Drosophila melanogaster: one gene and its partners. The protein of the gene in region 1 interacts with the protein of each later gene in a pairwise test. Each region holds a gene or a part of one and is shown in the gene's direction. Other genes may lie near its edges.

Region 1 (7,569 bases):
TGCGGATTCAACAATGCGGTTAAACTTCGTTTTAATTAATCAGTAATATCTATCAAGGCTGAAAGTGTGTGTTATTTTGTTAAGCAATGTTTATTTACCCCTGTTCAAGGCGTAGTTCAGAGACCGTTTAATAGATAGTTCTATTCGGCTAACCTACTGCTGAAATATTTAGGCAGTAACTTATTAATCGTGTAAGTTTTAATGTACTGCATTTAAACAGCCATACAAAAATATTCAATTAGCGCTGTTTAATGAACTTTTATTTATGTTAGAAAGAGTCAGAACAATAATCATCATATTTCGGTGATTTAATTTTGCAAATAATCATTACCGCAACTCATCAACCATGAAATATCAAAATGATATAAATATGAGGGATTTAGGGAAATGAATTTAGTTAGTTTCGGAATTTTACAAGAGAAAATGGAACTTGTTGGTATATATTTGATATTAGCCACGACGATTGTTGTCCAAGGATACAGAAGTAAGTCAGCGAACAGGATAAGGGATAAAATCTAAAAAATTCCCCACTATCAATACAGAATTTGGACTTAGTTGTGAGGATATTGCCTGTATATCTGGTAAAAAATGCATTGTATCCAGAGTTCCCTGCGAAAACCCAAATCAGCAAGAAGGAGAACAATGTGGAACCTATCCGGAGTGCCAATCAGGTTCGTAAAATTTTGTTTTTTCATCGGTTCACACTGAAATCTGGTCCTTTTCAACTGATCCGTTTCAGATCAGCTGGCCAGCGATTTCATCATCGACACTACACAGACCACTGCCAACACCCGAAACAGCATCATCATACCCAGCACTTCCACGAGTCGCAATCGGAATAATAGGAACAGTGACTTTAAACTGCTGAGCGATTTCAGTAACTCCGATACATTTGCCACCCATGCAGGCCAACGGCAGGCTAATGTTTTGGTTATTGTTCAAGATGGTTCCCAGCAACCTCAACAGCCAAATCCTTGGCTAAATCGAGGACAAAGTCCTCCCTGTACCATCAGTCCGCTCTACCCATATTCCTGTACTTATCCCCGTTATCCGAATTCGGGAGCAGGATTGCCTTCTTATACGCAGCAGCGATCGGCCAATGGGCCACAATTAGTTCCTCCCACTCCACCATGCTACTATAACTGCTATCCCAGTGTGCGGTCAAGTTCATATGGTCAATATGGATACCCCCTGTCTAGATCAGCCAATCCCTCATCAACCAATAACTATTTAATCTACCTCACATTAGCTGGCTAAAAGACCAGGAGCTTTAGTTATGTGCAAATAATAAATATAGAATCTATTATCAACCTTTTTTTTTCGTTTCTATATCTTCGCCAGTTTTGCACCGTTTCCGGCGAACGCCACAAATGCCTTATCAGCCTGTGGGGATGCCAGCTTCAATGCCACCCGGGTATCCACCACCTCGCCCACCGTTTCAAATGCAGCAGCCGCGTCAAGTTGCACCACAATATGTGATTCCACCTCAGCCCAACCCACAGTACGCAATTCAATACCAGGCCAACCGGCAATATGCCATGCAAGGACAACCCAATTCGGCCAATCCTTGGCTCCACTTCTCAGTAGGGATGTCCTATCCAACGTATATGAACTATAATGGACGTTCCGCTGGGAACTCACTTCCATCATTTTACAATCCGTACCCACCCAGTTATAGTACCTATAATTACAATATTAACTTACCCTTTTCGGGTGGATCTTCCTAAGATCTTCGATACTGGTTAAAAAAAATTCAAAGCTACTCAGCACCGGATGGACTCCTTCCGAACATTATTTCATTACTTTCAAATTTGTCGTTCCTAAAATTAATAGCTAATACATATATTTGTCAGCTTCTCTGGGGGAAACGATGACGGATTCCGAAATGGATTCTGATGCAACACTACCACAATTTCACAATCGATCGGCACGTCAGATTCCAATGCGTCCCATGCCAGGACCAATGCCAATGCCAGGAGCGCTGCCGTATCCTGGTCCTGTTTCAATGAATGTACCATCTCCGGGGCGTGCGTATTATCCCTCGTATATGGGACAACCTTATATGGGACAACCGTACATGCCAGGTGCCATGCCCATGATGCCAATGATGCCCCAGGGAGGTGGAACTATGGGTGGTACCAGCATAATTGTGGAGCCCTTAATAATCCTGCCAATGGGCATTGGGGCAGGCACGGGTACGGGCGTGAATCCAAATTCATATTATGGATCGAATGGAGCTTATCCCACGTATAACAATTACAATCCCTACAATACGTACACTACTGCACGACCCAGCTACGACTATAACAATTATAACAACAACAATAATAACAATAACAACGATTACAACTCATATGGTTAGATTTCAATTAAATGATCCCCGAAATCTACATGATCATTATTCATTTACAAATGAATCGAAAGCTGTCCAGGTATGAATATATTGTGTACATACATTGTTTGCCAGGTCATTTAACAATAGATTATTTTCGATTATTAAATAAGAAAAATGTCAAATATAATTGACGATTAATCTTGAATAAAATTATTGAGATACATCATTCGCGAGATAAATCACTTTTTGTTTTAGCTCTGTAAAGAAAGGGGATCGACAAAAGCAAAGAACTTAATGCGACCTAGACCTAAATACACATACATATGTATAAAGGTATATAGATAGAAAGAACTCGGAAGTACTCAAAAAATGCAAACAATCCAATGGTATTATATCTTTATTCTCAGAGAGATTACAAGACAAAGAAGCAAAACGAAAGAGAGAGCGAGAGAGAGAGAGAGATGTAAGATACAAGAGCACGAACTGAGAATATAAATAAAAACACCTGTTCACCAAACAAATAATTCAGTCGGCGGTTAGATAGCAACTTAACCGGTCGAGTTGAGTTTCCAACAAAATGATGCTTCAGTTTATCGGCCTAATTTTGGCGGTCGTGATTCTGCGAGAGATTCGGGCACGTGAGGCGATCGCAACCATTCCAGATGTGGGTCAGATAATCAAAGATCTCGATGGACTGCACATCGATGGAGAAATGTTTCATCAAGGTATGTGGTCGCCTAAAAGTTAATAACCATACGTTTATCCAAAGCAGACTGAGCTTTGTTTGAGTAGTTTGACTGTAGTGGTCACATTCGGAATGAAATATATGTACATTTTGGAATGCAAAAAGGTCTGATGTTTGTTTTTCTTAAAAAAAACTATATTGTAGAAACAATAACCTTATTTACACATAAAAGTCACCTGCTTCAACAAAGTAAAATACATAGCACCAAAGGGCTGGAAAATAAATTAGTCTTAAAATTGGTTAAAATTCAAAATAAGAAAGACTTAAATATTTAAAAATATATATATGAATATAAAATTATTATATTACAATTGTTATATATATATTGTTCGTATATATAATAATATTATTGTGTTGTAAAATATTTAATCTTTATGTCATCGCCTAAAATTATGCCAAGAATTTTTAGCCACATCTTTTAACACACCTAACTTCCCATTTTAGGTTCTCCCTGCAGAGTGGATGTGCAAAATGATCTGCCCCGTTTGGATAAAGTGCAGCCGCTGTACCTGCGCCCAGGAACAGATCTCTACTGGCTGCCCAATGCTTATGGGCACCTGGAGGTTCAACGCGGCGCCAGCATCGAGCTGCACTGCAGCCATTCGTTCGCGCCCGCGAATGGAGAGTCTTTGGATGCGAAGCTGCGTTCCATTCGGGTGAAGTGCGTGCAGGACACCACCTTCGAGTGGATGGGGGCTAAAATCCATTTCAGCGACTTTGTCTGCAATCACTCCATGCCCTACACCGTGGAGCGATTGGACAGGAGTTGTGGCAGCGACACTCCGAGTCCATCCACCTCGTACTTGTATCGCGTGGGCTATGACACCGGAGATGGCAGATTTGTGGCCACCATGGAGCTGTGCCACGACCCAAATCAACTGCGCACCCACTACGCCCACCATCAACTGACACCGGCGAATGTGCACTTCCAGAAAAAATTGAAACGCCCGAGGTTTAGCACCGCCGGCCATTTCACGGGCTTTGACATGGCCAGAATTTATTCGCCCAAGAGCCAGGAGAAACTGATGGTGCCCGGCCTCATTGACGTGAAGAGTGGTCTGTTCCTGGCCCGCGGACATTTGACGGCCAAAGCGGATCTAATCTATGCTAGCCAACAGAAGAGCAGCTTCAACTACATGAACGTGGCGCCGCAATGGCAGAGCTTCAATGGTGGTCAGTGGTCCAAGCTGGAGGAATCCACCCGACAATATGTGGCCCGTTCGGGCATCACGGCCACTGTGTATACGGGCATCTATGGCGAAATGAAGGTGGCTGGCAGCAAAGTCCTCCACATGACCACCAATGCCAATAACATAGGTGTGGTGGCCGTGCCCCAGCTCTTCTATCGCGTCCTCATCGACGAGGGCCATCCGACCCGCGGAATCGCTTTGGTGGGTGTGAATAACCCACATGCCACCCTGGCCCAGATCCACGAGTCCTATATCATCTGCGATCCAGTGGAGGAGTCGGTGCAGTGGCTTAGCTGGCTGCACAAAAGCAACGCCAAGGGTAACCTGAAGAATGGCTATCTGTATGCCTGTTCGGTGGCGAATTTGGCCCGGGCTGTCGGACATTTGCCACGCCCACTTCTCGAAGTGGATGAGCTGCTCACTTAGATGTGGGCGGTGGCGGTTCGATTGCCCGTACTTTTAAGTGAGTGCAATAAAGACTGAGTGAGTTGTGTGACACAACTGCAGTTTGGTATTAGTGAAAATCACGTCACAACACTGCAACGAATGTGCAAACCCTTGAAAACAATTTTGCAGAAATGCATTACTGTATAAATATATATACATATATTTCCTTTGAGCTATTAAGAATAATTCATGATTATCTGGTACAAAAAAAAAAACATAAACATCATAAATCTTGGAATTTAAATAAATCTTTAAAGAAAAGGTCTGCAGATTTTGTCAACCTAACAAGTTAATTTCCATGAAGGAGTCGTCCTTGCCCATTCTTTTGCCAACCATCTGTGCCCATTCTTTTGCCAACCATCTGTGCCAGTTTCGTGTGTGTGCTCAGATTATTAACGCTCGTGTGGGCTTCACGCCATCAAAATCAAATGGGACATCGTGTGTGGTCATGTCGGGGGCGGGGCCACGCCCACGTTGGTGCCTCGAATCGGGAAATGCTATACACTCGTTATGCGATTGCCTTGTTGGCGAGGGCGCAAAATCGCTGGAAGAAATGGGGATATCAAATACGGCTCGGCTGCATTACCTTCATGCCGTTCACAAAACACAATTTGTTCCACAACATTGATTTAATCCTTTTTCTTCTGCGCCACGCACACACACACACACACACACACACACACACACATACACGGGAAATACAAACAACGCAACGCACATAAAATGGCTGTCGTGAAGAATTTTCTTAAATTTTCCGCTGGCTTTTTCATGGCATTTCCCGTCGTGGAGCTATGTCCTTGGCATTATCATGAATATTTGCCCCCTCTATTCAGTGCTTTCGATACATTTCCATTTGCTGATTTGAAGCGCACTTTCCACTTTTCCACACCCCAGCTCCTTGCCGCCTTTCCGTTTTTCCGATTTTCCGTTTTCCGCTCGCTTAGGTCGGTGCCGGTGTATTCGAAATGGGGCAAGCCGAAATTATGTTTTTATGCTTCCTTGTGCGGTAAGCAATATTTGCTCAAGTATCCCTCACAGACTGTTGGACAGTAATCATCAAATGGGGCACAAAGAGTTGGGAAATTTGTGGTTCGTGTTTCAAGAAAACGAGGCGGAAAAACTAATGAAGGGTTAATAAAAAAACTATATCGTATAGATTTTATTTCATTTATTAAATAATTTAATATGACTAAGAGTATAGCACAAGTTGGTTTGTTAGATAGTTAAGCTAGAAATGTAATTATTTAAAAAGTCGAATATAATTAAAACAAATCATCAAACAAGCTTCTTTGACATAACACGAGTTTGGAAAACTTATGCAACAAAAGTTTTAATAATCAGTTGATGGAACATAAATTGAAAAAATAAATCAACGAAATACGTAAAAAGGTAACCAATTAAAAACTGATTTCTATGCAAATGAATTCTTCCGACAAGAAACAATATAACTTTCAACTTGCCTCACATTCCCTGGAAATTAAATGTTTTTTTTTTTTTGTTCTGTTTGCCTAGCTGAAAGGCACTTGTAGCAATCGTATACCGCTTAAGGACATGAAATGGAGTGCAGTACAAGGTCCGAAGTCCAGACGACTTTCCTTAGTGGCCATAACATTTTTCCTTAAAATTGGTTACAAAAACAAGGAATACAACAAATTGCTTCGTTGTTGTTTGTCTTGTTTCTTTCGCAGACTTGATGAAAGTTTATCTGCTCCATGGAAATTGTGAGGTCAGTGGCCAAAAGGAGCAGCAGCAAGGATACCACCGACCAACCGAAAAAAAGTCAAATAATTGAACGCACTTCGCGCAGATGTTGTCGGGATTCTTTTTTATGTCATTGCTGGCAGAAGGATATGTTGTGTTGTGCGGCCGCCAGCGGAAATTATAATTTATATTTGGGTTTTCGCTCGGCCTCTGTGTGTATTTTAATATCGCCACCTCTTGTTTGGAGGCCAGCTCCAGTGGGCCTTGTTTTTTATTTTGATTAAAATGCATATTAAATATTTGGCAAACAAACAAAAAAAGAAAACGTACTATAAAACCAACTGAAATGTATCAAATAAAATGATATATATAAAAAAAAACAGTGCAGAATACATAAAAAATATAATATAAATAATTTCCTGCTACCGCCTGAATTTATTTCCCGCTGTGGGTCCTGCTTCCTTCCGTCCTGGCGATAAACTATATACATACGCACCCTATATATTTATGTAAACATATAGATTGAGCTACGACGACCTTACCCGAACTTACAGCAAATCCTTCGCTATGCATGAAGGGGCATATAAAAATAAACAATGTTCGGGTTTATTTACATGTGCGTAAGAACCAATGGGATTGGGAATGGGGACACAGGACATACAGGATCTACAGGATGCTGTAAACGATTTCATTTGTATTGAAAATTGAAGATCCTTTGACCGCTCTTGTTTGGAATCGGCGTTTCTTTAATCGAAATGCGATGATGGGCGGCAACGTCAGATGTCAGATTAATTCAAAAATAAATAAATGGTGTTGAATTCTTTCTGATTTATTGCATATATATTTGATATAAAGCTTCTTGCATTCCTTAAAGTCCATCTTTATTTGCAGACCGTTCTTAAATTGGATTTGGATATCCTCAATTTGAGCAACAATTTCGTTGACTTTGACCAGTTTCCATTCTGTCCTGGCATAAAAAGCGAAACAACAAGCTGAAGTGAATAAAATACGTGCACACAATTCAAATGAAATAAGAGGAAAATATGAAAATTGGAGAATGCAAGGAATGTAGAATGAAAAGCGCAGCGTGGAAGAGGAAATTCCGTTTCATTTTACTGGAAATTACAGTGGAGAATGTTCACAGCAAGACA
Region 2 (8,248 bases), on another chromosome or scaffold:
CCTAAACTATGATCTTGTCACATTAATCCTAATTACACGGCATATGTTTCATACGATACGTACTCATACTGGTGGCTCCATTCAGTCGCTGATCGAGGGGCATTATCGTGGCCCCCACACCGATACCGGCTCCATTCGCGATGCCAGTGCCCACTCCCACTCCCGATCCCAAATCCATCGCATCATCGGCACTGGCAGCGCGATTAAAGGGTCGCGGTTTGCGATTTTTGAAGCGCAGGCGCAGCTCCGTGTTGAGAACGCGCATTATGTCGATGGGCGGAAATCGATGGGAATATATATATATATACACACTATATAACCACTACGTATATATAAACAAAAAAAAACAAACGACGGCCTTTTGCTATTGTTTAGCTGATTTGTTTGGGGCGCGGGAATTGGAGCAAACGCATCAACGACTCCAACTCAATTTGTGCCCCGCATCGATTGCTCTTCGATCCCCGATCACTGGTACCCGAAAACAAAAAAAAAAAATCGAACACAAACGAAAATAGAACTTAAATAGGAAAATGATTTCGGGGATCGCCCCTCTATATGATATCACACACACTGCCTGCAAATCACGAGCTATTCAACAACGCGTATTTATTCTCAACTTGAGCATTTATATTCAACTTGGCTCGATTTGTGCGATGTGTTGCCGTGCGGTAAACGGAGACGGATGGCAAACAACACCGTTGTTGTGAAAATTTCGCGTGCGACTGACCGGCCGAGCTGAGCTGAGCCGAGCCACCCAATTCGAAGCAACCCAACTCAAAGCAATCCAACTAACCAACGAAACCGAGTCAACCTACCATACCATACCATACAATACAATACTATACCGCACCAGCGAGCGGTAAGCGGCGAGAGGTGAGCGGTGAGCGGTGAGCGGTACGCGGGGTAAAGCGATGAGCTGCGAGCGCACAACTTTTACAATCTAATCGCGGGGCCACTGGGCAGAGCGCTTAGCAGAGCGACAGATCTGACAGTCTAGCTACTTTCCCCGCCCCACCTGCTGCCTTTGTGAACTTGCACAACTATATAGTACTATATATTATATATTATAGCATGCGCCTAACTTAGTAAAGCCACTACTATAACAATACATTGTGACTTCTTTTTTTTTTTTAGTTATGATAACCTGCACTATTCGTTGCGAGTTCAGTAAACTGTCGACTGCTGCTATTCAGATGTACGCGAGTGTGACAGCTTGTGACTGTTATCAGCGTGAGTGACTCTTATCAGGCTAATGGAAACATTCAAGTCAGCTGGCGACTCTTTAAATTTGCACTCGCTAAAAAAAGGTAAACACCGAATGAGCTGAGCACATGAAAGAATGACAGACGTTGTCTAAAATTTAATGTTTTCCAGCCAAAAATTCAAGTTGGTTAGTGGTCATGCAAAGTGGGCGACAAAAGTGGTGCCAAAACAATGAAATCCACACAGAAAGTACAAATTAAATGCGAAGCTAGATAGAAAATTGTGTAGATGTTTGAGATACTTGCTTAGAAGTCTTAAGGCAGCTTAACTGGCTGGCGAAATTCAATTGAAGGCGAATGGAAAATCCTTCAATGGCAAATTCTTGGGGCAGCAACAAGTTTCAATGCATTTCCCTTGAAATCGGAGCTCTGCTCATTAATTATAAGCTAAAAGCTGGCGTCGTTGCATGGAACCAGAACCGGAATCAACAGGATAATGCTGGGTCAAACAAAAGTGCAATTATAAATGGACACCAGGCAGCAGGAATTGTGTTTTCACGGAATTAATTAAAACGAGGGTGGACAATGGGGTCAGCGGGGCAAAGGATTAATATGCATTTTCACACAATTCCTCTAACCACCCACTTTCGCAGCGTTCTAAACTCTTGTTCCTAGAGCAAGTGCATTTTCCAGGTAATCAAAATCCTTGGCGTTTAGTCGGAATCAACAGGATAATAATAGACAGAAAATGGTAAATCAAATACCAAATACCACACGAAAACAACCATTCGCAGGTATTAAGTAATGTGTGTGTGTGTGATTAGAGTTAAATCAAAAATTAGTGCTTCTCATATGTGGGCAGAAAGTGCATAAATATAGTCAGCAGAGCGTATTTCCATGGAAACCGCACATTTGCCCAATTTCCTTTCATCGAGAGGGGATATGAACTTACTTACTAATATGGTTTTAAAGCGTAGGATATTATTAGTTAAAAGAAAAATATTTCGATTTTTTTAATCTAGTAAAACGTTGTGTAAAATCCTTGCCTACTTTTCTGCTAAGCCCCACAAATTGTGCGGAAAATGTTAGGGATAACGTTTGCAGAGGCCAAATTCGGTTCAGGATTTCCGAGAAATGTTTAATGCGATTTAAATATATATATGTACATATGTATATGAGTGATGTGCCTCAAAAACTCTAGTCAATAAGGATTTTCGGAATGATTTAATTAAACAAAATTCTACAGATAAACAAAGGTCAAATGCAATCGGAGAGTTCCGGGAAATATTCAAGGAGCTTCCTTCCATATGGGATGCAGAGTGAAATTCTATGGTTTATACAAATGGAGTAAAGACGACAAGAGGATAAATTCCAATTAGGATGACAGCCTTTTTATCCAGGTTTCAAACCATATAAATTTAGGAAGAATTTTAGAGGAAAAAAAAGACGAGAGTGTGTGTTCGTGTGTGTGGGAGCGCAGCGGAGGTGCGAGGGACGAAATGAAAATAGGAAGAGGAAATGGAAAGGAAAACGAAAATGTTTGCGTTCGCTTCTGGAGTTGTTCTTTCAATGTTTAACACTTCTGGAAGAGAGGCAAATGCAACTGCAGCATCTAAAAGTCTAAAAATAGACTTGTTGACAGCTCCCAAAACGAGCAGCAGCAGCAGCAACAACACGAACAACAACAATGAAAGGCGGGGGCGTTGCTGGATAAAGGGGCGCGGGTTTTGTGAGCAGTACAGGGATAGTGGCAATAGGATCAAGAGGATGGTGAAGGGCAGAGACGGAGGCGGAGGCGGAGGAATGTGTGTAAACGATGGAGGCGAATGCAAACGGTAAACTGTGTGGAAATTGGAAGGAAAAGCCAAGGAGTCGCCAAAAAAAAAACGAAGAGAGCGCTTAAGAGCGAAATACTGACCGATTTTCTGCAGTATATTCATGATGAGGCCGTGTGTTTCCGCCAGGATTCACAGATTTCCCTCTTGGCAATTTTCATTCTCCTTTTTCCGCAATGATATTCGGTTCTTTTTGCTCATAGCCGCAGGCCAGTAAATAATATAAAAAACACTAAATTCTCTTTTCCTCTCACACGCACATTTTCATCGTTCTCCGCTTGAGTAGTATTAGTATTTGCTCACACACACAGTACAGTATTTTTATTTGATATTTCGCCCCGTCTCGCTCTAACTACACATATATGTACATATATTTATAAAGTTGTGTTGCGATCCGCACTTTGTATTCACTTAAATTCAATCGCACTCGCACTGCACTTTTGGCCGGCTCTCATTCGGTCCAAAAAAAAGAAAATATAAAAAATAACAATACAATTTTAAACGCGCAACACAACAACAAAATGCGGTGACCGTCGCGCAGTGCTGCTAAAATGCTTCCCAAACAATGTGAAAATAGTGACGAAGAAAGTGACGATTAGATCGCAATCGATAGCTCTGTCGATAGCGCTGTGGCGATGTATGGGTGCCACCTCTAGCACGCGGAGATGGAAACTATCGATAGACGATGACAAAACGTTTGAAAAAAAGTTGAAGATCTCTCGCGTAGTTTATTGATTGCATTGGTAATTTAATTGCAATATTTGTAATTACAAGCGGGAGAATAATCACCGGCGCGTGTGTGTGAGCCTAATCGCCGTGTTTTTCCTCCCGTGTGTATGTTTGCGTGGGTGTGCAGTTGCAGCACTGCAACTCAAGTGTGCGTCTGAGTGTGTGTGTGTGCAAAACTGCTCCTTTGTTTGCCCATAAAAAAAGAAGCGGCGTCGCCTTTGCGCAGTTTTTGTTGGTGTAGTTGCACCACCCCCTCTCCGGCTACTGCTCCCCACTCCACCCCCGCGCGCACCCTTTGTTGTTGCATTTGTAGTTGTCATTGTCATTGCCGCCGCTTTGGATTCTTCCTCTTCTTCTTCTGCCGGCGCCAGGGTGTGTGCTGCAAAAAATAAGGAAAAGGAAACGAAGGAAAAGCGAAAAAAGAAGTATATAAAAATAAATTCACCCCTCTTTTCATTGAATGGCACGCAAACTAGAAAGTAACAACCAATAATCAAATGCAATGTATGCAAAATATAGGATGGAAAACTTGTGAAAATGTCAATAAATGCATATAAGCAGCAACAACAAGAACAACAAAGTGACCAAAAACCAACCACCAGAAGTGCAAATGTGTGTGTGTGTGTTTAGTGGGCAGTGGGTGAAAACAACAAAAATGCTAGCCGGCTTGTTTCTAGCCACCCCCAACCAAGCGAAAGAGAGAGATAGGGATGCAGATGCTCGTGCTCTCCCACGCCGCCCGCTGTCATCCGTTAACCGTTAGCCGCTGAGCTCTCCTGCAGGTTGCACCTGTGCCCGTCTCGCTCTCACTTTGCAACATCACCTCGTTATATTGCCTTTGATTTTGCTTTTCTAAATCACTTGACCCCATTACCTGGTGGCTCCGCTGGCCAATACCTGCTTGGCCGTCCCCCAGCCGCACCTCCTTTTACCCCCAGTGGTCATTTGTTTTGCCGCTTTCTAACAAACAGAAACAGTTGAATTGGCGCATGCTCTCTCCCTCCCGCTCTCGCTCTCTCGACGTTTGCTTACTGCACTCGGGAGACTACACAGTGCGGCCTCCAGAGAGTAGAGTATAAAAATAAAGTAATAACTAACTAAAGACGTAGAAAAATATATATTTTTGCGCAAACTAATATTTTATTTGTTTGATCCAAAGGCTCATTGATGCCATTGCACTGTGATGTTTAGTTTACAGAGTGCTCACTGTGCTTATCCATAAACTGCAAGCCAGTTGGTTGTGTTTGTACAAGGGTATGTGTGTGTGAAACTCTCCATGAAATTTATCAAAAGGATCGTTAACCCTTAGGTGTGGCATATTAACCCTTACCGCCGCTCGGATCATACTGTTTGTGTTGCCATTTTCAGCAGTTGTTCATACACGTACTTCATATTTGCAAATTACACATTAGAAATTAGTGCAAATTTAAGTAAATATATGTTTAGCTTGACAGAAAGTGAAGAAATAACGCTGAAAAGAGGATCACTAACCCTTAGGTGTGCCAAATTAACCCCCACCGGCCGGAACTCATCATATTTTGCCCAGTGTTTTTCCTCGCCTTTCCTGATGATGTACAAACAAACATTCGCATACATACTCAAACAAACACGTACGCCAAATGCGCGAGTGTTGGTCGGGTTGGCTGGCTGGCTCATCCGGCTTTGGTGGACACCATTCTTGTCCAGCTTTCTCTTTTCAATAGACGTATCGCCGCAATAGCAAGTGCATCTCTCTTTTTTTCCCCATCCATACTTGCTAAATGTATTATTATTTATATTCGGTTATCGGCTATTGTTTGCCCTATCGGATTTGGATGACGATGAGTCAGGAGCGGCGGGCAAGACGATAACAAACTGTGGAATGTCCCCCGCGCACCCAAGTGATATCATACTCGTACTTATGCGGCTATTTTGCCATTTTCCAGAAACGAAACTCTGAAACGGAGCAGCGGAGCGGAGAGCGAAGCGCAAGAGAGCGACTGAGAGGGAGCCACCGGACTAGTGACACTCGACCATCAGGCATCAAGCATCGGGCATATACAATCCACAATCGACTCTCTACACTCGAGCAGAGAACGTCCATATCCATATCCACATCCGCATCGGATCGCCATCACATCGGATCGAAGCCCTCCCAGCTCAACCAAGTAGCCAACCATGGCCTGGCGATTCAAGGCTTCCAAGTACAAAAATGCCGCACCCATTGTGCCCAAGGCGGAGGCATGCGTCCGCGAGATCTGCGTGGGCAGCTACCAGACGTACGGTAACAACATCGCCGCCTCCGGCGCCTTCATGGCCTTCAACTGGGAGCACACCGGGTCCAGCGTCGCTGTCCTCCCGCTGGACGACTGCGGCCGGAAGAGCAAGACCATGCCGCTGCTCCATGGACACACGGACACAGTGACGGACCTTAAGTTCTCCCCGTTCCACGACGGGCTGCTGGCCACCGCCTCGCAGGATTGCCTGGTAAGAGATCCTTTAATATTATTTGGGAGTACCCCTAAATGTTTCAAAAATATATTATGTGTTAGGTCATTACTTTCCAATGATATGTCCATAGAGTTACTCAGAATATATTTTTTTTCTTGTTTTATTTTTGCAATATTATTAATTTAATAAAAATGTATTTTCCGTTTCTCAAACATTAAATGTTTATTTACCAGAAGCTACAGATAAAATAGTTGCATGTTATAATGAGTTTATGAGTGTGATAAGAACGAACAATCAATAATATGCTATTATTAATATTAATAACTCACCAGAAACCATAATTTCATCGCAACGCTATCACATTAGTCACAAATTAGATAGTCAACATGACACAAAGTCCCCCTGCTAATCAATCACTACCATTGCAATCCACAGGTCAAGATCTGGCACATACCGGAAAAAGGTCTGGAGCAGTCGCTTTCCGATCCGGAGGCAATCTTCTCACACAAGCAGAGACGCGTAGAGACAGTGGGCTTCCATCCAACAGCAGATGGTTTGATGTACTCCACAGCCGCCGGCTGCGTGGCTCTCTTCGATCTCAGCACTCAAAAGGAGATATTCTGTGAGTAAACACATTCTTTTTTTTTTTTTTTTTTTTTAAATAAAACCCTAACTAAATATGTTTTTTCTCTCTACAGCGAACAATGAGCACCCCGAGGTGATACAGTCGGCCAGTTGGCGCGAGGACGGTTCTGTTTTGGCCACCAGTTGCAAGGATAAGAATGTGCGAATCTTCGATCCCCGTGCCGCTGGTTCACCCATCCAGCTGACTGCTGAATCGCATCAGAGCATCAAGGATTCGCGGGTGGTGTGGTTAGGCAATCAGCATCGCATCCTGACCACTGGCTTCGATGCGGCCCGCCTGCGACAGGTGATCATCCGTGATGTGCGCAACTTCAACACTCCAGAGAAAACTCTCGAACTGGACTGCTCGACGGGCATATTGATGCCCCTCTTCGATCCCGACACCAATATGCTTTTCCTAGCCGGAAAGGGTGACACAACCATTAACTATTTGGAGATTACGGACAAGGATCCGTATTTGATTGAGGGCTTGCGTCATACTGGCGAGCAGACGAAGGGAGCTTGTCTCGTGCCCAAGCGGGCACTTAAAGTCATGGAAGCAGAGGTTAACCGGGTGTTGCAATTGACCTCCAACATGGTCATACCCATCATGTACCAGGTGCCCAGAAAGGTGAGTAATAAACTACTATCAAATTTATGCTCAAAGTACTTATAAGAAAATTTCATAGACATACCGTGATTTCCACGCCGATCTATATCCGGAGACCACTGGCTACAAGACAGAACTGGTGGCCGGCGAGTGGCTAAATGGCAGCAACCAGGCGGTGCCCAAGATGAGCCTTGATCCCGCCAAGCGTGAGCATGGCGATGAGCCAATTATTGTAAGTAACCTTCTATACTTTCATATTTCGATTTATAGATCCTAAGATTGAAAACCGGAAGACAAGGGCTTCATGGGTTAATGTAGTTAGGGTTCGATGGTTAGCATTTCCGGGGCGTTTCGTTTAAACCCAATTTGGCCATCAATGCAGATTCATCGCGGTAACCTGAGTGATTTTGTTAAGAACCTGGAGAATCAGCGGGCCAAGAGCAACACCACTGGGAAACCCAATCAGCAGGCCAAGCGCAACGATAACGAGCACTTTGTCATGCTAAACACGGGCAATAACTTTGAGGAGAAGAACGGCAATGACAACAGCAACGAGAGCAACGGAAAGAAGAGCACACCTTCACAGTCCCAGCCAGATGGCGAGTGCAGTGAGCTCATCCGTAAGTTCGAGGCAAAATACAAGGTGGATTCGGAGAAGGAAAAGGCCCATGCCTACGCCCAGTCTCACGAGGATGACAAGGAGTCACCCACTGAGCACGAGCATTCGACCGGCAGCAGCGAGGAGGTCTCCTCCTCCGGTGGACTGGACAACCATTCGGCCAGTGGCAGCCACTCGCCACCGAAGCCCATGCCGCGCA
Region 3 (8,283 bases), about 13 Mb from region 1:
GAATTAGGCGTTGGCAGCAGCGTGGCCATGCCCGTCAAGCGATCGACCGCAAAGAGTAAGTGTCCACGTGGTGCCCCAGAAAAATACGTTGGCTAATGAATGTATTGTTTTTCTTCAGACTCTTTCGACCTGAACGATGCCGAGAAGCTGCAGCGTCTCGAGCAACAAAAGACTGACAAGTGGCACGTTTTTGCCGACGGCGAAGTGATCCTCAAGAAGGGGTTTGTCAACAAGCGCAAGGGTCTGTTTGCCCGCAAGCGAATGCTCCTTCTGACCACGGGACCGCGACTCATCTATATCGATCCCGTGCAGATGATCAAAAAAGGAGAAATTCCGTGGAGCCCAGATCTCCGAGCGGAGTACAAAAACTTCAAAATTTTTTTTGTCCATACGGTAAGTGTTTACCTATGGTGGGATAAGGATGCACGAGGCGCAACTCGGAAAACCGAGAAAGCATAAGTTTGTTGAACCGATGACATCACAGCTTATAGTTCGTAGCCAGTCACACGCCTACTGAAAAGCAATTTGAGCGTTAGTTTATGTCCCGGGCACGTGTTGGCTATGAAAGCAAATTAAATGCGGCATTGAAAACTGCACACGCAAGGCAGATAAAAACTCAAACTTGTTTGGTGAATGGGTTTAAAATTAGCGTTGCGCTCAACTAATTTTACTCTTTTGGTTTCATTGCAGCCAAATCGAACCTATTACCTGGATGATCCCGAAGGCTATGCTATCCACTGGTCGGAAGCTATTGAGAACATGCGCAAGTTGGCCTACGGAGATCCCTCCTCCACATCTGCAGTGTCCTGCTCCAGCGGCAGCAGTAATAGCCTGGCTGTCATCTCAAATTCATCCGCCGCCTCCTCAAGCAATTCGCCCACGGTGAAACGCAGTTCCCCCGTAAACGCTCCTCAAGCTTCGACGGCGTCTGACAACCGGACATTGGGTAGCACCAGAACGGGGACGTCACCTAGCAAGAAGACGGCGTCTAAGTAAACGTAGTCCTATTTATAGCAATGTGAAATTAATTTAGTTGAAATTTAGTGCAAACGAAGCGATGGCGTAGAAGAGGGCGGGAATAGAAGTAAGCTTAGAAGTAGAAGTAAGTGATGAAGGGGAAATAATGATCGTGTCTCTAGTGCTAATTAGAACCAAATTTCTGTTTTCCGATTTGTATTGTGCTTAGGGCGAAAATATAACACTAGAATAAACTTATCTAAAGTAAAATACATCTATAACGACTAAGTAAATTCAATTTAAAATTTAAATTAAATATTTATATACAGCATACATAAATACAAATATATTCGTATTTAGCGCGTAGTTAGTCGCAATTGAAATGAATTACACACGGAGGCAAGGTGGCATTGTAGGCTTAAATTAAAAGTAATTTCGTGAAGCAAACTAAAATCCGTATTTAAATGGTATAATACTAGGAAATTATCTGGAAACTGTAATATACATAATATGTGTATGTACGTCGGAGAAATAATTTTTGTTTCTGTTATCGTGGGAAGATCACATATATGTTAATATAAATTTTGTAAACAGTGTAACTATGTACAGAACTATGTGAGCTATATGCACACGGCAAAAAGACCCTAAGTCGTGGGGAAGGAGATGGGAATGAGCCGGAAAACCATCGATGTCACAAAATCGGTGTTTTTCCAGCTTCACGCTCAACTGTTTAGGTAATTCTAATATACAGTTTAACGCTAATTATCATTATTTATCATTCTCATTATGCTTTTCGTTTACCTATTTGCCCTATAATGAAATGTATAAGACTTGAGCTACCCTAATAAAAGAACGAATTTTAAATTATATTTTTATTTTGTAAGGGCTACCACTAAAAACTCAACAGTCGTTCAAAGATTGTCAAGATTGGCGGTCGTTGTCTCTCCAACTGACTCCAATTGAATGTGTGTAAAACAAGTCTTATACAAAGATATATGTAATAGATGTAAGACAGACTGCAAAGTTTCTTGAAACAAATTAGTTAAATGTTGTAAATGTCTAAGTTGCTACCACTGCTACTACTAGAACGCGCCCATCCCCTCCCATATTTACCTTTAAGCTACAGTAATTAAGTGATGAGCAGAGGTGTAGAGTAAGGAGTCGAAGTTGAAAGAAAGCAAAAAATACATTTTGTACATACATATCGCCGTTGGTCGATATACATCTAAACATAATTTAATTTTTTGTTACTTTTAAGTAAATTATTTTTGGCGACCTAAGTAAATTAAAATTAACGCAATATGCAACAACACACATAAGTATACAATTAATTAAATTAAACGAAAATTACGATTTATTAAACGATGTCATAGAACGGAGAGCCACTGATAGTGAGAGAAATCTGTAAAATAAATATTTAAACAAATTATATATTATCTATATATGAGTACCAGAACAAGAATGTCAAAAAAGAGAAGCATGTAAAAATAAAAAATATATTACGAGTAAAACAAAAAAAGATAATCGAGCGAAAGGAACGTATCATTAACAGGAAAAATTAAAGAAAAATACAAAAACATTTCAAAGTAACAAAATTACGATAAAATTTGTTTTTATTTTGGTTCGTTTGGTTATTACAATTGGCAATATCTAACTGATTGGGTAATAAGTGCGCGTATCCCAGTATCCAACGTTGCAAAATGATACAACATTTCAATAGGTTTCAAAATCTACGTAAGATACACATAAAACGACCTGACTACTTTGTTCTACCCTACGCTTGTGCTGCAGTACCTAAAATCGAAGAAAGAGTACAGTGAACAGGGCTAAGATATAGAAAGACAGCTCTATTTCTGCAATCCAAAAAGGGCTTGCCCTAATTAAAATAATTGCAAATGCATTGCGCTTCAAATCCAGAAGCCTTTTTTACCTTTTATAGCCTACAGGAAAAAAGAAAAAAGAGGAGATAACGGAAAGACCCATAAAATCGAAAAGTGCATAGGTAAACCTGTAGGACGATTAGTGGAATACTAAAATCATCATATGTTTTAATCAATAAGTATTCCAATTTTACCAGGGGCAAGTGTATGCGAATTCTTTCAGTACGAGTATTTAATATATTTATTTTTATCATAATTGTATAAAAACCTGAAGCTCCAAAATAACTTGATCATTTTGAGAAAAATATTAATAAAAATTATTTTTTTGTTTATTTTCTTATTATTTAGTTACATATAATTTTATTTTATGTTTATGTTTTTATAATTTTTATTTTATTATTCATTATATTATAATAAATAGATTCGTTGAATAGTATTAATATTGGATTTGAATGCAGCGATGCGTTTTACGCATTTCAAATCCGAAACTCGCTTAGATCACACGACGTAACTTTATAAGATATATAAATCAAAAATAACTGTTATTTTGAAAGAGAAAAAATGATGTTGTTTGAAATAAAGGAACAAAAAAGCGAAAAACAGAAAAAGCAATCGGTTAAGTTTTAAATTCTTTTTGGGCGCCAAAAATGAATCGGATAAGCCAAAAACAACAAACAATAGGCTTTTCGATTTTAAGAAGGGTCACATTTCCGATAACAATGAAAACTCACATTTAAATTGGTCACACTAAGTGGGGCGCCAAGAGAAAATATCGATATCGATTCCGACTGTTGTGTTAGACTTTACAAATAAATTACAAAGAAATCGATCAAAATAAAATCATGGAAGAAAGTCAGCCAAGGTATGGCGCTATGTGGACATTCAAGCTGGTGGCACCATACGTAATTGGCGGCTACCTATGCGGCCTCGCGGTAACGCTCGCATGGAACTGGTGGCAGCTGGGCCACTTGGTTCTGGGTCTTAATCTCACCTTCGCGATTCCGGTGGCGCTTGTTCTGGCGGTCTTTTACAGCAGGCCCGTAAGGTAAGAACTACCTGAAAAAGCCCAAAACGATTTGTGTCTAACAGTGTTCCCTCACTGGCTGCCAGGTGCATTGTGACTTTGGCCCTTCCCTCGCTGTGCAGCTCTCGGGGAAGGGCGTTCCTCATCAGCCTTGCCTTTGTTATTGCCGCAGTTGGGCCTACGGCGAACATTCTAGCCAATTTGAAGGTGATGCTCCGCAGCCTCGCTTGCGGACAGGAGCTATTGCGTCAGGCGCTTGGCCAGATGTTGGACGTAATACTGGAGCCGGTGAATGCCATCCAGCTAGCGGTGGATCTCTTGATGCGGGAAGTGCGTCGGGTGCTCAAGCTGGCCATGGTAGTGCTGTTACGCATTCAGGACCAATTGATCGCAATTAGTGAGTATCTGTATTAAAAAGTGCTGCAGTTTTCTCTGCTGATTCATTTTTGTAGTTAAAACCCTGAAGAACTGCGCCGCTTGGCTGAAATCCATCGTAGACCTGTGCAACACAGAAATGGGCACTCCCTGGGCACGTTGCAAAAAGACGGCGCATCACGCAATGATCAGGTGCCAGTCAAAGATGGGCGTATTCAAGGCGCTATGCCATGCTGCAAAGCTGTTTCTGGCCCTCTGCTATCCAGCCAAGATCATCGATGTGTTTTGCAGCGGTTACTGGGATCTCAGCTGGGGTCTTCTTGATAAAATCGCAGAACGTGAGAGTGTAAACAACGATCGGTACTTTGGTTATTAGTTATACGATCTCGCAGGCTACCGTGAATTTGTGCGGCACATCGAGGAAATGTTTGATGCCAATATCACTTTTGAGCACGAATTTTTCTTCGATACAAACTCTTCAAAGAGCCTGACGGACGTGGGGGAGGAAATTTTACAGGATATTAACAAGCGTCTGTCGTCGTTTATCTTCTTGAGCAGCTTTGTGGACATTCTCTGCTGGGTCATGGTGGTTACTGTATTTTTTAAGTAGGCAAGAGCTTAATCATCTTATTAATTTAGTGTTGGTGATGCCTCAATTGTTCCCATCAGAGCCACCATCTTCTACCTTCGATATATGCACAGCCGGCAATTTCAGAATGTGTTCTTGACAAAGATACTAAGTGATATCGACCGGCGGCACGAAAAGCACGGTTACGATCCACTGCTACCCCTTCATCAGCTTGAAAGGGCAAAGTATATGAAGGTAAGGTTTCCCTACGTTTCCCTGACATAATATTACAATGATTTCATTGCAGCTTACTAGCTTGCGTTTGACTTTGTTTGAGTTCGTGTCCATTGTTGAGAACGCCTGTTTCATGGCCACAACCTGCTTGCAGTTGTTTGCGATTTGCTTTCTGGATTACGGGCTGTTCTGGCTGTTGGCAACTATATCCCTCCATGGCCACCAAGAGACTGGGCTGGAGGTGCCCGCTTACGTCGATCTAGAGATTAAGGGTGGGGGCTTTGTGGCGGATGTCATGCGGGGAATCGCTAATGCCTTTCGACCCTTGACGCAAAAAAGCATTTTAGACGTGAATCCTTGCCTCCCGCTGCCCGTGAAACCTGATTATGCGGAGTATCTAATTATATTATTACTCTGTCTGCTCGCTTGGCTGATCCTTTTGGCCGAGCCGTATATTTTGCGTACTCGCCATCTTATAATGGCCCACTTTTATCCAAAACGCGCCAAGGAAAGAGGCATGTTTCTGTACAACATGATTTCCGAAGATAGAAGTAAGAAAGTACATACCTTTTAAAGTTGTTCTAATGTATTCTCTCCAGCAAGCATTTTTAAGTTTATCCGCCGCAGAAAGCGTAATGAGTTTAACCACACACGGAATGTGAAGCACACCAGAAACTACACTTGGCTGAACAATAGATTCTCCTGTTTAATGTGCATGTGCTCCTGCTGCTCATCCTGTCAAAGCACTGAGAGGTGCACCATATGTGGCCGATCTCTGACTCTGTAAGTAACTCCAATCGTTAAACACACTCCGGGTTACAGTTGGATGTCCCCTTTTTAGTTCAAATCGTAACCCCTGCGACACTCCTGGATGCAAAGGGGTTTATTGCGGTAAATGCTTTGAAAAGTCACACAATAAGTGTTGTCTGTGCAATCGACCAGTGGATTATGGTGATTTTTCCGACGTTACTGAAGTAGAGTGAGTAAAAACCAGGGTTTAATCGACTATTCTTAATGGTTTTGTTTGTGCAGCGACTCTTCGGACTATTCTGAAAAAGAGTCTTTTAGCGAAAGGCAGTACAGGAAGACCTGTGGAGGACAACGCTAGCAACGAGGGAAAAACAGTTAAACATAGAGGTTGTGAGCGCATACACGTTATGCAGATAGCTCAGAAATATAATATTTCCACCTATTAAATACCTGATATTCCAACAATTTAATATATGGTTATAGGTGAGTTATTCAATAAAAATAACTCTTGTTATTGCTGATCTGATGTCAGTGCAATTCCTACCCTTCACCGCCCATGGAAGTCGCAATACGGGGACTGCGTTGTTTGGCGAGCTTCTGGGCTGAAATTATTATTTAATTAAATACTACAGCGACAAATGGCTACACAGCAATTCAGAAAATAACCTTGTTCTCACCCCTGTTTTCGATTTTTTCTTTTTTATCAAAGGCTTGTTTGCTTGATACCTATTTTTATTTCTTCTTGGGCTATGACTGTAACGTGCTGTTGAACATCTTCTCATTATTGTTGACTTTCTCTTTACGACTGTTTAATAAATTCTGCTCTTCCCCCACATGCGGCTTCCATTTACCAAGCTTATACGAGCATTTATTATATAACACCCGTCGACTTGCACCGATCCCTCTAGACCCTATATCGACCCCTATCCACTTGACCACCATCGTTGACAGTCAACCACACACACTCGAAAAACAATGGAGCTCATCTTTTCGAACGGATTTTTGTGCTTGTGCAAGGTAATGCCCGGTCCGTTCGGATGATATCAAGTTACTATTGGGTAGTTTTGTTTGACACTCGATCGATCGCCGTTGTGTCTCTTAGATAGCTGATGCGTGAACATTTCATCAGTGCCATCCAGATTCGCTTTCAGGCCGACGAATTATTTTGTTTTATTGAGAATACCATTTTTCCTATCTAAAAAACTGCTTTTTTGTTTGGGTACCCAAAGAAACCAATGCTTTTAAGCTCCATAAGAAGCTCGTGGTCGTTGCCAATTGCCTTGAAAATGGCTTTCTCTAACTCGTCGTATTGGAAGTGTGGCGAAAAGGGCATGTCGTTCAGGGCGTTGAAGAGCGTGTTCCCGCGCTCGTTGCCAATAACCAATGTGCGACCACAGTGGGAAAACCTAAGAATTGGTAAAGGAAATTCCTATTCAATTGGCCATTTTTGCGGAAAGCAATAAAAGCTTACCTGGCCACAGTATTAAAAGAAGAGTCCATCTTGTGCTTGGACATGGGTCTTAGCAAATTTCGGCGAAAGTCCCAGACGTTAGCGGTTTCCCGGTTCACCGTCACAATAATCGTAGAGTGGGTGGGGCTCCACTTGGCCCAATGCACTGGGGTCATCTCGTCTAGCAGTTCGAGAAGAGGTCGCGTGATGCCATCGACCCAAATGCGTACGAACCTGCAGAATAGATACTATCTTTAGCTACCCTTGATAGAGGGCCACTTCCTACCAATCGTTGCCGCAGGTGAGGAAGAGTTTGGGAGACCAAGGCGAGAACTCCATTACGGTGACACCCCCGTCGTGACAACGCAGGACTTCCAAGTACTGATGCTGATAATTGATTGAGCACTTGTGGATGCAGCCCTCATCTGTCAGCACGTAGTAAATGTCCTTGTGCAGAGGATGTGTAGTGATGCTTAAGCCTTGCGGGTGGCGGTTAGACTCGCAGGGGATACGCGACGATGGGTGAACGAAAATGCCCTCAGGATGCCCCTCGACTCGCTCCAGAATCATTTGGGTAAAACCAAGCAGGAAGGGACTTTTGATAATCCGGAAGCGGGTGACCGAGCCATCCTGGGAGAGGCTCAGGAATGGATCGATGTCTGTTTCATGATCGTCGTCTGAAACTTGTTTGATCCAGCGGATGGCAACCACCGGCGAGGAGCCTGGCGAAGTGCTGCGCTGCGAGACCGCAACGGGTGTGTCCTGCAAACTGCTCACATCTCGCACTTCCACGCTGCCGTCGTACAGACCAATGGCGAGCAAGGATGGCAAGAATGGCGAGAAGTTTATTGCCGTTACTGGCACATCGTAGTAGTATGCGCGCTCCGGCTCGCCTGGATTTTTAATGCTCCACAGGAAAACGCTGCCGGAGGTCGGTACGTGCTGTGAGGAAAATGAGTACAGTCCGTAGGCTACAGCCAGGATGTCACCATTGCTGCGGCAGAAATCAATGTCGCTTACGGCCTTGCGCTCGTCTTTGCTGGGC

The links. Proteins that work in one complex are often made in the same cells at the same time.
Region 2: the proteins of CG14118 (region 1) and pod1 interact in a two-hybrid assay, tested with the Drosophila melanogaster proteins (one large-scale study listed by BioGRID).
Region 3: the proteins of CG14118 (region 1) and CG6845 interact in a two-hybrid assay, tested with the Drosophila melanogaster proteins (one large-scale study listed by BioGRID).

What each region holds. Positions count from the first base shown.
Region 1 is NT_037436.4:12,889,801-12,897,369, forward strand, and holds CG14118 (uncharacterized protein), read left to right. Parts: upstream 1-2,857; 5' UTR 2,858-2,912; coding exon 2,913-3,060; intron 3,061-3,524; coding exon 3,525-4,696; 3' UTR 4,697-4,958; downstream 4,959-7,569. Other genes in the region: CG43894 (uncharacterized protein), read left to right, coding at 424-484, 543-671, 740-1,257.
Region 2 is NC_004354.4:6,799,987-6,808,234, forward strand, and holds the start of pod1 (pod1 coronin), read left to right. Parts: upstream 1-3,697; 5' UTR 3,698-3,780; intron 3,781-4,109; exon of another isoform or gene 4,110-4,191; intron 4,192-4,998; exon of another isoform or gene 4,999-5,020; intron 5,021-5,141; exon of another isoform or gene 5,142-5,263; intron 5,264-5,398; exon of another isoform or gene 5,399-5,489; intron 5,490-5,691; 5' UTR 5,692-5,923; coding exon 5,924-6,232; intron 6,233-6,631; coding exon 6,632-6,818; intron 6,819-6,894; coding exon 6,895-7,451; intron 7,452-7,509; coding exon 7,510-7,662; intron 7,663-7,812; coding exon 7,813-8,248.
Region 3 is NT_037436.4:142,825-151,107, forward strand, and holds CG6845 (uncharacterized protein), read left to right. Parts: upstream 1-3,608; 5' UTR 3,609-3,679; coding exon 3,680-3,882; intron 3,883-3,947; coding exon 3,948-4,258; exon of another isoform or gene 4,259-4,313; coding exon 4,314-4,574; intron 4,575-4,628; coding exon 4,629-4,842; exon of another isoform or gene 4,843-4,905; coding exon 4,906-5,059; intron 5,060-5,111; coding exon 5,112-5,589; intron 5,590-5,637; coding exon 5,638-5,821; intron 5,822-5,879; coding exon 5,880-6,017; intron 6,018-6,070; coding exon 6,071-6,146; 3' UTR 6,147-6,232; downstream 6,233-8,283. Other genes in the region: Pdk1 (Phosphoinositide-dependent kinase 1), read left to right, coding at 1-55, 119-393, 691-996; Dic61B (dynein intermediate chain at 61B), read right to left, coding at 6,984-7,194, 7,260-7,472, 7,525-8,283.